Linked DNA regions of Schizosaccharomyces pombe. The protein of the gene in region 1 interacts with the protein of each later gene in a pairwise test. Each region holds a gene or a part of one and is shown on either strand. Other genes may lie near its edges.

The links. Proteins that work in one complex are often made in the same cells at the same time.
Region 2: the proteins of rcn1 (region 1) and SPOM_SPAC1687.07 interact in a two-hybrid assay, tested with the Schizosaccharomyces pombe proteins (one large-scale study listed by BioGRID).

Annotation. Positions count from the first base shown.
Region 1 is NC_003424.3:199,348-205,446, reverse strand, and holds rcn1 (calcipressin), read left to right. Parts: upstream 1-2,166; 5' UTR 2,167-2,468; coding exon 2,469-2,960; 3' UTR 2,961-3,718; downstream 3,719-6,099. Other genes in the region: SPOM_SPAC24B11.05 (pyrimidine 5'-nucleotidase), read right to left, coding at 1-234; diadenosine 5',5'''-p1,p6-hexaphosphate hydrolase Aps1, read right to left, coding at 4,580-5,212. UniProt on the Schizosaccharomyces pombe protein: Inhibits calcineurin-dependent transcriptional responses by binding to the catalytic domain of calcineurin.
Region 2 is NC_003424.3:911,878-915,365, reverse strand, and holds SPOM_SPAC1687.07 (uncharacterized protein), read right to left. Parts: upstream 1,710-3,488; coding exon 1,335-1,709; downstream 1-1,334. Other genes in the region: irs4 (ENTH/VHS domain protein), read right to left, coding at 1-274; SPOM_SPAC1687.08 (uncharacterized protein), read right to left, coding at 748-1,038.

The DNA.
Region 1 (6,099 bases):
ACGCTGATCATAATCCACAGCATCAATTTCATGATGGAGAACAAGACCACGAATTGCTATACCGTAATGCCGATAGTAAACTTCACGAAGGCGTTCTGCCTCCTCTGTAGGTATGCCAAGCTTATCAGAGAAAAATGCAGTAATACGAGCAGCCATCATGTTATGGATTTTGTAAGATTTAGGATACAAACAGTTATCCAAATCGAAAAAAATAATCTTCTGCTCAACAGTCATAATGGTTGTTAAAAAAAAGAACGGTCAGATGGAGTAAAAAATTTGAATAGAGAAAAAAAGAGAAACGTCAACAAAGAGAGGTGTATATCTAATAGCGTAGGAGAACAAACGATCAATGGACGCACACAAAAACAAATAGCAGAAGGAGTATTAAAATCCTAAAAACAAAAAAATAAAATAAAATAAAATTAAGTTGAAAAACTTAAGAAATGAGACTTTTTAAAGCAATTAACGACTCAACCCGGATATTTGTGGTTAATGTCCTGTGAATAAACGATCAATAGCCAGTATCACGATAAAAAGAAAGGAGGTATTCGAAGATTGATAAGATAATTACAGATGTTTACCTCGGGTTAATGGATCGAAACAAACTAGTATGATCGGGAAATAACGAATCGTGAATTAGTATTCAAAGACGTACAAAAATAAAAAGAAGAGAAGAAAACGGTAACAATTTTAAAAAAGTCGAGAAAAACGTATGAATTGTAAAAAGTGTGATTTGGACAGGGCAATTGATGTAAACAAACAAATCAATCACCACTTGATAAACAGAAAAGATATGGGAAAACTGGATCGTTTGAATTCCTTCTTCCAAAATTTTACGATTTATCGACGCTAATAAATGTAAAAAAAATCGTAAAAATCGTGCTTAAGTATTCAAATTTGACGTTGGTGAGTATGCGATACCAGCGTGATCAGGGTTAATGCGAATTTCCCTTCAAGCAGAAAAAACTATTAGAATAGGTACTTCTCTTATAAAATTGGAGCAGAGAATTACAATACTTTTGTAAAACTTGTGAACAAAGGATGCGTTGTTGTTAGGGAAGAAGAGGCTATCGATATATATATCATGAACGGAATCATTCATCATCTTCAGCGAGTAGAGTGTATTGTAACGATGGCGACCGAGTCTACCTATCTTTACCGGAGGTAAGCTTTTTACGCCCATATGTTAAACGAACACTAAATGCGAGATCATGGAACATAAGCTAGGTCAAACACTAAGATACTTTTTCATGGGTATTTGACGCACCGCCAAAAAGATAAGAACATTTGTATGAAGAATGACTTTTCAGTAAACAATTGGTGAATTTTGATATCATCTTGTTCAATGGTGAACAAGCTTGCTGTATCAACCGTAAAATCGCTTCGAAATTGTATTAGAAAGATCGAATATACCGCTTTAACTGTGTACCATGAGAAACGAAAAGCGAGGTATCCACAGCAATTTTTTAGCTCTTAATCTAACAGAAAACCCCCTTCTGAAGAGAAAATCCATTATCAATTTTTGTTTAAAGAAAAAGTATTGTCTTTAGTAGGGAACGATGAATTTGGTTAAATAACAAAATCAATACAATTTCTCATAATAAAATTTTAGCTAAATCGCCATTTCCAGTTTCTTATGTATACATCAATTACTTGACTAAGAGGTGTGGACAGCAAAACAAGTTTTCGCTTTATATGAAATGAACTGTAGAAAGCTCGATAGGTGCTGAACTCATAAATGTAAAATTACTACCGCCCGAAATATTTATATGGCTTTGGACTCATTGCAAATTTGCGACCCTGAAAAATGATAATAAGCGGCACATTGACAATTACAGTTATCTAGTGAATGAAAAAAGAATTAAAAAAAAAAAGCAAGCAATATATTCTCAAATTTTCTGATTTACTTTTAACATCATTTTACTTTTTGTTTTCTTATTTTGTTGTGTTTTGTCTTGCAATTGCTAAGTGTTTTCAGTATACAACGTGAATACTCGTACAAGGTCAACAAATTATTTAAACTAAATTTGGCGATTCTTAAAACAAACAAATTAGATCCTTTATTTACATATCTATTTAACAATCACTCCTTTGGCTAGCTTCATACTTATTACCAATCTCATCAAATCGCTACTTCAATGTGACGTTTAAGTAGTCGACAAATTCATTCGTAAGCCAACATTTGAAAAATCTCATCGTTTCTTTTAATGATATTCTGTTAGATACTCTAAGTTTTTGTTTTACCTACTAAACCCGATTTCAATCTAAAACACAAAAAATAAACAAAAAAATCCCTAGATTTGGAAATCATTTGGACCACCAATTCTATAAAATTTTAAAAGATTGATTCTTAATTTGCATGCTTCAACATATGATTAATTAAGGACTATTTCTAATTATTTTTCTTTCATTTTCCATTATATATATGTTCTTTTCCCAGTACATATAGAAATATTTGTTTGCTCTTCATGTTAGTCTTTACTACGAGTCCCGATCACGTTGACGAACTGAACGAATTTGTTCAACAACTCAATCCGGTTGCTTTTACTCGAGTGCTTCGAGGATTGGGGAAGGTGTTGGCTTCTTACAATGACAAAGCTGTTGAAGAGGATACCCTCAAGAAGAGTAGTACTGGTTCCCTACCTTCCGGCCAACAAGTGCATTGTCAATATGTATTAGATGATCCTAATCATGTTGAAGGAATTTCTGTAGACCAATCGTTACAGGTTCCGAAGTTTGAGAAGAATTGGCTTATTAGCCCTCCTGGATCTCCACCTGTAGGATGGGAACCTATTGTTGAAGAATCTCCCAATTCGCAACATTTAGCTCATGATATTCAGCTTAAATTGGATGAATTAGGTAATGCCCTTTTGAACGATCATTCCGCTGGACCACAAATCGTAATTTCTGAACATAACAATACAAAGGAAACATCGCCATCCAGGCAATTTGAACATTAGTTCTTGCTCAATTTTCTTTTTCTTTTCTTTTTCTATTTAAATTTTTTGTGCATATGCGTTTATTTTTGGCTTCAATTTACAAAGTTTTGTTCTTGCTTCAACGCTTTTTTTTTGAAAGAAAAAAAAATCGACATTTTCAAATCAAGATTAAGATGGGTGAATTCTAAAACAGCTCGATTCCAAAACTTCACTTTTTTTAATTGGAAAACTATGGTTATCTTTATTACGGTCAACGACTTGCTCCCAGTAACTGTCTTGAAATTAAGGATCTATAGTTATGTGAAAGATATTTCCGTAATTCAGATTGTTAGTGATTTGTTGAATTTGACCTGGCTAAACTAACGCATATTAAAAGTTTTGTTTCATCAATTATTTATCCTATTATGCCCTATGTCTTCAAAGTTATTTACCTGTGAAACGTTACATTCTCGTTCAGATTAGATCCAGAAACTTATGCTGGGATCTAACAGGATTAACGACAATTGTTAGAATGTGAGACAGTGCTATTTAGTTCATTTTTAAAAGAATTGGCTATGACCGTCAAAGTTCTGAAAATAAAAATATATATATGTATTTTCTTCTTGTTTCTTTTTCTAAAAATTTTTTATTCTGATAGCTGAAGCTTTACTAACATAACTGCTAAATCCTACGTTTTTAATTTTGCAGTTTGTTTGGATTTTTAGGTGTGGTTATAAATTGCTTTTATGTACATTTTCACGTTGAACAACGTCAATCAAATATATTAAGTAATTCTCAAATTCTTATATAAGCATTTTGTACGAATATTTATACTAACGGATTGATGTTTGCTATAGTTCGTCGTTTCGCTATCTATTTACTACTAATTGAAAAGTATTTTTTAAAATTATCGCACGTAAGTGTAATGAGCGTCAATGGATTCACTATAATTCATAGCTATATGATTGCTGAAAGCCAATATAAAATTACACGACATATTCAAATTGACACACGAAACTTCTTGGGCTCATTAGTATCTAACAACGAATACGTTTTACCGTATGGAACAATTTTGTTTTTATTAACGTCACTAATCAAAATTGGTTGCAAACAATTAATATGCTAGCAACTAATGTGCTTTTTATGCATAGCACACAACGATAACGATTAACTCGCACCCTAGCATCAAACAGGTGGGATTAGATGATTTTTTAAGGAATGAAACTTTGTTTTAAAAAATTTGAATTATCATGCGATTCAATTGAAAATATATTTATAAATAGAATTAGTATGTTATGCAGACAATGATCTTAATCGAAAATATACAAAGAGAGTAAAAACTTTTAAAAAAGGAAAGAAAAAATAGCAGTTGAACTGCTGGAATATATGCTGTACCGCTGAAATCCTTTAAAGGATATATGTTTCATGAAATGAGCTTTATGTCGAAAACTCAATTTGACCCAGCTTGCTGAAAAAAAAAATAAGAATCAAGATTTGCAAACTTCAAGCCTTTTTAACACACTTGACATGGTAACTAATAGATATAACAATTTCGTAATCCCATGGAAAAAGATAAATATTGAAGCAAGAAATCAAAAAAAATGGTAAATTAAAATATTTGAATAAAAGGTTGCAAATGGTAAACATTATGCATCTGTACTTCAGTTTTCCTCTTTAATGATAGAGCTCTTCTCAAGAGCTGCCAAAATATCTTTACGACTTGTCAACGCTTCCTTTGCTTCTTGATAAGACATCCATTTTCGGCGACGCTTCCTCATCTCTGGGTAATTGTCTTCTAATCTTTCAACAATAACTTCAAAAAATTCACATTCGGCTCTAGGTGGAAGTAATAATTTCTCTGCTTCGGCTCCTAACTCGGTATTGGTTGAGACGTCATTTCCGCTACTTTTTGACATTAATTGCTTCAAATATTTTTTCCTTCTGTCAATAGTATCAGTAGGACGCTTATCCTTGAAAGACCCAAGGGATCTAGTGATATGACCCACTAGTCCGCCTTCTTCCCAACCTTCACGAAGGGCAGCTTGCTGAACAGATTCATCAGCCTCCCATCCACCCTTAGGAACTACCCAAGAAGGATGTTTTTTAGCAGAAGAAACTAATAGGACTTTCCTTTTGTCTGCAGATAAAGCAACAACACCCGCAGCAAGTCTGGCTCCTGTAATAGGATTGAATCGATTTTTCGTTCGACCTTCACGAGAAGTCATTGAGCGGTTCACTGCCGTCCGTAGATGATCCGGCTCCATTAAAATCACACTTCCGTTATTTTCAAGCATATGAACTATAAAGTACTCTTCTTTTCGACAAGTTGAATGGATTTGGTATAATTTCTTGCCTTATGGTAGAGTAAGGAAACGATGTCTGAAAAGGCAAAAGCAAGATGTTCAAAAGAATCTGAGTTCTTTTTGAACAAGGAAGAGATATAAATCTCCTATTCCGATGAATATAAATCGATCGCGAAAAGTGGTTTTCCGAAGGTTTCTCCCAGTGATTTAGGTTGGGATAACGAAATAGTGAAGTACAAACCGACACGCTAAACAGTTGTCGGAGACCAAATAATTTGCGGTGATATTTAAAATGAGAGATTGTATTAGAAAATAGGTAATTTATAATTTTTCAAAATAAATAGCTTGCGAGGAAAATACATTTTCATTTTGTATGCAGTAATCTCCAATTTGCGAAGTTGTTTGTATTCGTAGATTTCGCATCGAAAAATACCCACATTATCAATTCTTTGGACAAAATGAGGCTTTTTAAAAGGAGTACGCTTGTAGAAAATCTGTAAGTCTTAATCTTTTAATACACGGTTTTCGAAGTTTTGCATTGTATTTACTGTTCTGTTGTTCTATCTGATCATTGCTGATTCCTTCACTAACTCTTGATAAGTTGGGCTTTTTGAATCTGATAATATTGATAGTAAGAGAATCAATTAACACTAACCAATTGTTGATGCATTTTAATGTCGAGGAAAATAAAATAAAATAATTTAACAAAAAAAAGATTGGATAATTTAAATTCCCAATATCTGTTTTATTTAAAACAATTATTATAGCGAAAAAAAATGTTTATTATATAAAAAACAATAATTTATACAATTCAACTACTTCTATTACGTTTGGAATAAAAAGAAAATCGTTTAAAATAATAATATATCTAAATAAAA
Region 2 (3,488 bases), 710 kb from region 1:
GAGAATCATCTTGTTCAGGAAAATCCGCAAAACTCGCTTTGGCAGCAGCTAAGGGATCTAGTGGGTTGGCATCAACATATGGATCTACGGATTTATATATAGCGGAAGGTAAGCTCTTTCTGTGGTTCTGAAATAGGGGAAAGGATCCATTAGAATGCTGAAAAAATGATCTGCTTATGCTTGGAGAAACTGCACGGCGGCTGAGGTTTCTTTCAGAATGCAGTAATGGATGTCTTTTACTATTTCGTAAAGATACGGGATGAATCGCGTCCATCGCAAGGCCTTCTTGTTCTACATCAGGGAATATAATAAATAATGAATGAAGGAGGCGAAATGCTGTCTAAATCGATAAGACCCTCACAGATTGTTCAAAAAAAAGAAAGAGGTTGTGTGTTATGAATTGTAGAAAGAAGGTTACAAAACGACTGCACTGATGGAAGTAGCATACATGTGATTTTTCCTTGCGGGTTACATACCAGATGACGCATTGCTAAATGACTCTGAGTACTGCGCTAAACAATTACCTTAAAACTTTTCACCAGTTTTGTCACTCTTCCTTGCTGCCCCGTATATTGCTTACGCAGTTTCAAAAACAATGTTACCTCTCTTTTAATAAGCTTACTGACTCTTAAAGTATCAATAATAAACTAAACAATAAACGAAATTTCACTTTGATCATTATCAAACATGATAAAACAAAATATTTCTTCAAAATTTTACTCTTCAAGGAATTTGAAAAGCAAATAATTATAAGGCTAGCATCTTTTTGCAATTAACTATTAGCTGTTGATGATACACAAACATTACAACAGAGACAATCAATATTGCAAGGGTGAGCCCGTTTTTTACACGGTTAGCTAATTGAAGCATTACCGTATTGAAAATAGTAACAGCTAGTTCGAATACTAAAAAAATTTTTAGACCAGCCTTACTATCTCGAGAATTGCTGATATATTGCAGCAAATGATCACAAAAGTAACATATAGCAAATAGAACATGGAAAGTACAGCGGATCGTCAGAACATTGAAGATAAACATTTCATTAATTCTTAAGAATTATTGATAGCGTTAGCAGTAATTGAAGATTTGGAAGTCCATGAATCGTAAAAAGTTTGAGAAAGCTTATGACAATGTTATATTTCGTTTCCATAACTAACGAAATAAATCGGTATCCACATGTTTTCGTATCCATGAGTTAACATACCATTCTGGAAAAATAAATAAAAAATAAATTCCGGCCGCCGATGAAGATTTTGAGATATTTTCGGAGACACTAACTAAGATTTTTTAGGACTTTGCGTAATTTTCTGATTTCAGTTGTTGCTTAATGACATTTAAAGTTTTGTAACAGCTTTATTGTCAAGTGGCATGCCGGTAGAGTCAACGTTGTTGTCACTCATGACTTTACGGATATAGATGAGTCTTGCCTGATCAAATGAGCACTGAAGCTGTTTCATCAATCCACGAATTTGTGAAGTAGCGGCTTCGTCCAGGCCGGCCCGAGTGTCCTGAGCTAGAATATTTTGGGCGATATCAAATGAACTGGAGTTAAGCCCATTGTTGAAATCTGCTTCAAAAGAATTTTCAACAGGTGAATATCTGATACTTCGATAGCGAGATATCCAAAATCTTCTAGCAGCAAATGTAATGGCGATAATTATAGCCAAAACAACAGTGACATAAGAAACGATTATATGAAAACTTGCCATATTCGGCTATAAAGACAAATATTTAGATAAGTAAAACACTTGAAAATAATAATGTTAACGTATTCCGTTTAGAAGGAGAAGTCCAAACAGTCTAATTTCAAGTCGACCTGACTCGTTAATATGGATTTTCTTGATAATAGCGAATTTGATATGATAGTAAAAAAGGAAATTATTGTATGGTTAAAACAACATGCAGAGTTTCGTCGGGTTAATGACCACAAGTAGTAAAACAAAAAAAAAAACTTAAGGCTAGGGGTATGCGCTCAAAATCAAATACTGACCATAAACGATTACGCAAGTACTTGATTTTGCAAAATATAATGAAATTAAAGAGATTGAAAACCAATTGAACGACTAGTTGTGCTAATTATGAAGATTCTTTAGGTAGGTAGATGATGAGATAGGTCAGTAAGTGAGGCTTACCAAATCACTTTATTCAGTGCGCAGCAAAGACACAAAGTCAATACTTCTCAGTTATTTAAATGATTTCTAACTTAATAATTGTAATTTCGTATATACAGTAATTAAATTGCTCGATCCGAGATGGTTAACATAGCAAGAACATTCCATTCAAGATACGAAGCAGATGTAAATTAATGAAGCAATAAACGATTAACTAACCATCAATTATAAGTAACGTAAATTTCTTGATATGTAAAAACTCGCGAAACACGAATTTGCCTGATGATTCGATAAATCCACTTTCCTTTTTAATTCATAGACAGTATAAAGCAAAAAAAGTATATTTGATATAACATACCACGCCGTCAATGCACATATGCGGTGTTAGAGTTAAGAATATCCCCTCATATGCTTTCCTGTAAACATTCTATGCTCGCCAGAGACAATCTGTAAGTGATAGTAGTAATATTTCTTGAATAATATCATTCTAGTATCACAAATTAACAAGTTCATCTACAAGTAAGCAATGGTTTTTCTATCTTTTTTACAGCAGTTAATCATCATTCAAGACGGAATGGCTTTAACATTTCTTCAAAGGATAAAATCCTTATATCAACTTTAAATATACACCATTTTAAGTAAGTTGTTTTGAGTGAGTATTTGTTGTCGCATTTCTCATAAACCCTAAACTTTTACTTCAAAAAAAATCTACTCTGCCAAAAAAATCAGATAAACAACTTGTGCTCTTTAAATAATTAGTTAGTGTATTCTTCTTGTGTATTTATAAAATTCTAAAAAAAAGGAAAGTTGTAACGGAATTTAGTTTACCATAACATGATTCCGCTAAGTTTGCTACCGTTCGGACAACTGTTTACACATTAAATTAATTAAATTCTTAGAACGAATATCTACGGCCATACCTAGGCGAAAACACCAGTTCCCGTTCGATCACTGCAGTTAAGCGTCTGAGGGCCTCGTTAGTACTATGGTTGGAGACAACATGGGAATCCGGGGTGCTGTAGGTTATTATTTTTGTAGATCTTTAATTATTAATTCTTTAAACATTCCACTGTTAAAGTCCGGAAAGAAATAATAAATTTACTTCATTTTCAATTTATGAGATTGTTTGAATGCTTGGTATGCAACTTTGATATCAATAATTTGTGTTAAGTTTTCAGAAACGTCTGTTAAGCCATAACATAAGCAACATATACTCCTTTATAAAAACAAGAGTACCATTGCTAAGGATAATTACACCAACAAAAATATCGCAAGCTTAAATACTTACTCAAATTGGTAATCAGCTTTATATGATCAGGCAACTTACACGGTATTCATTGTGAAGCTTTCATTGGAAGCAAGTCTAAAAGCAACTGA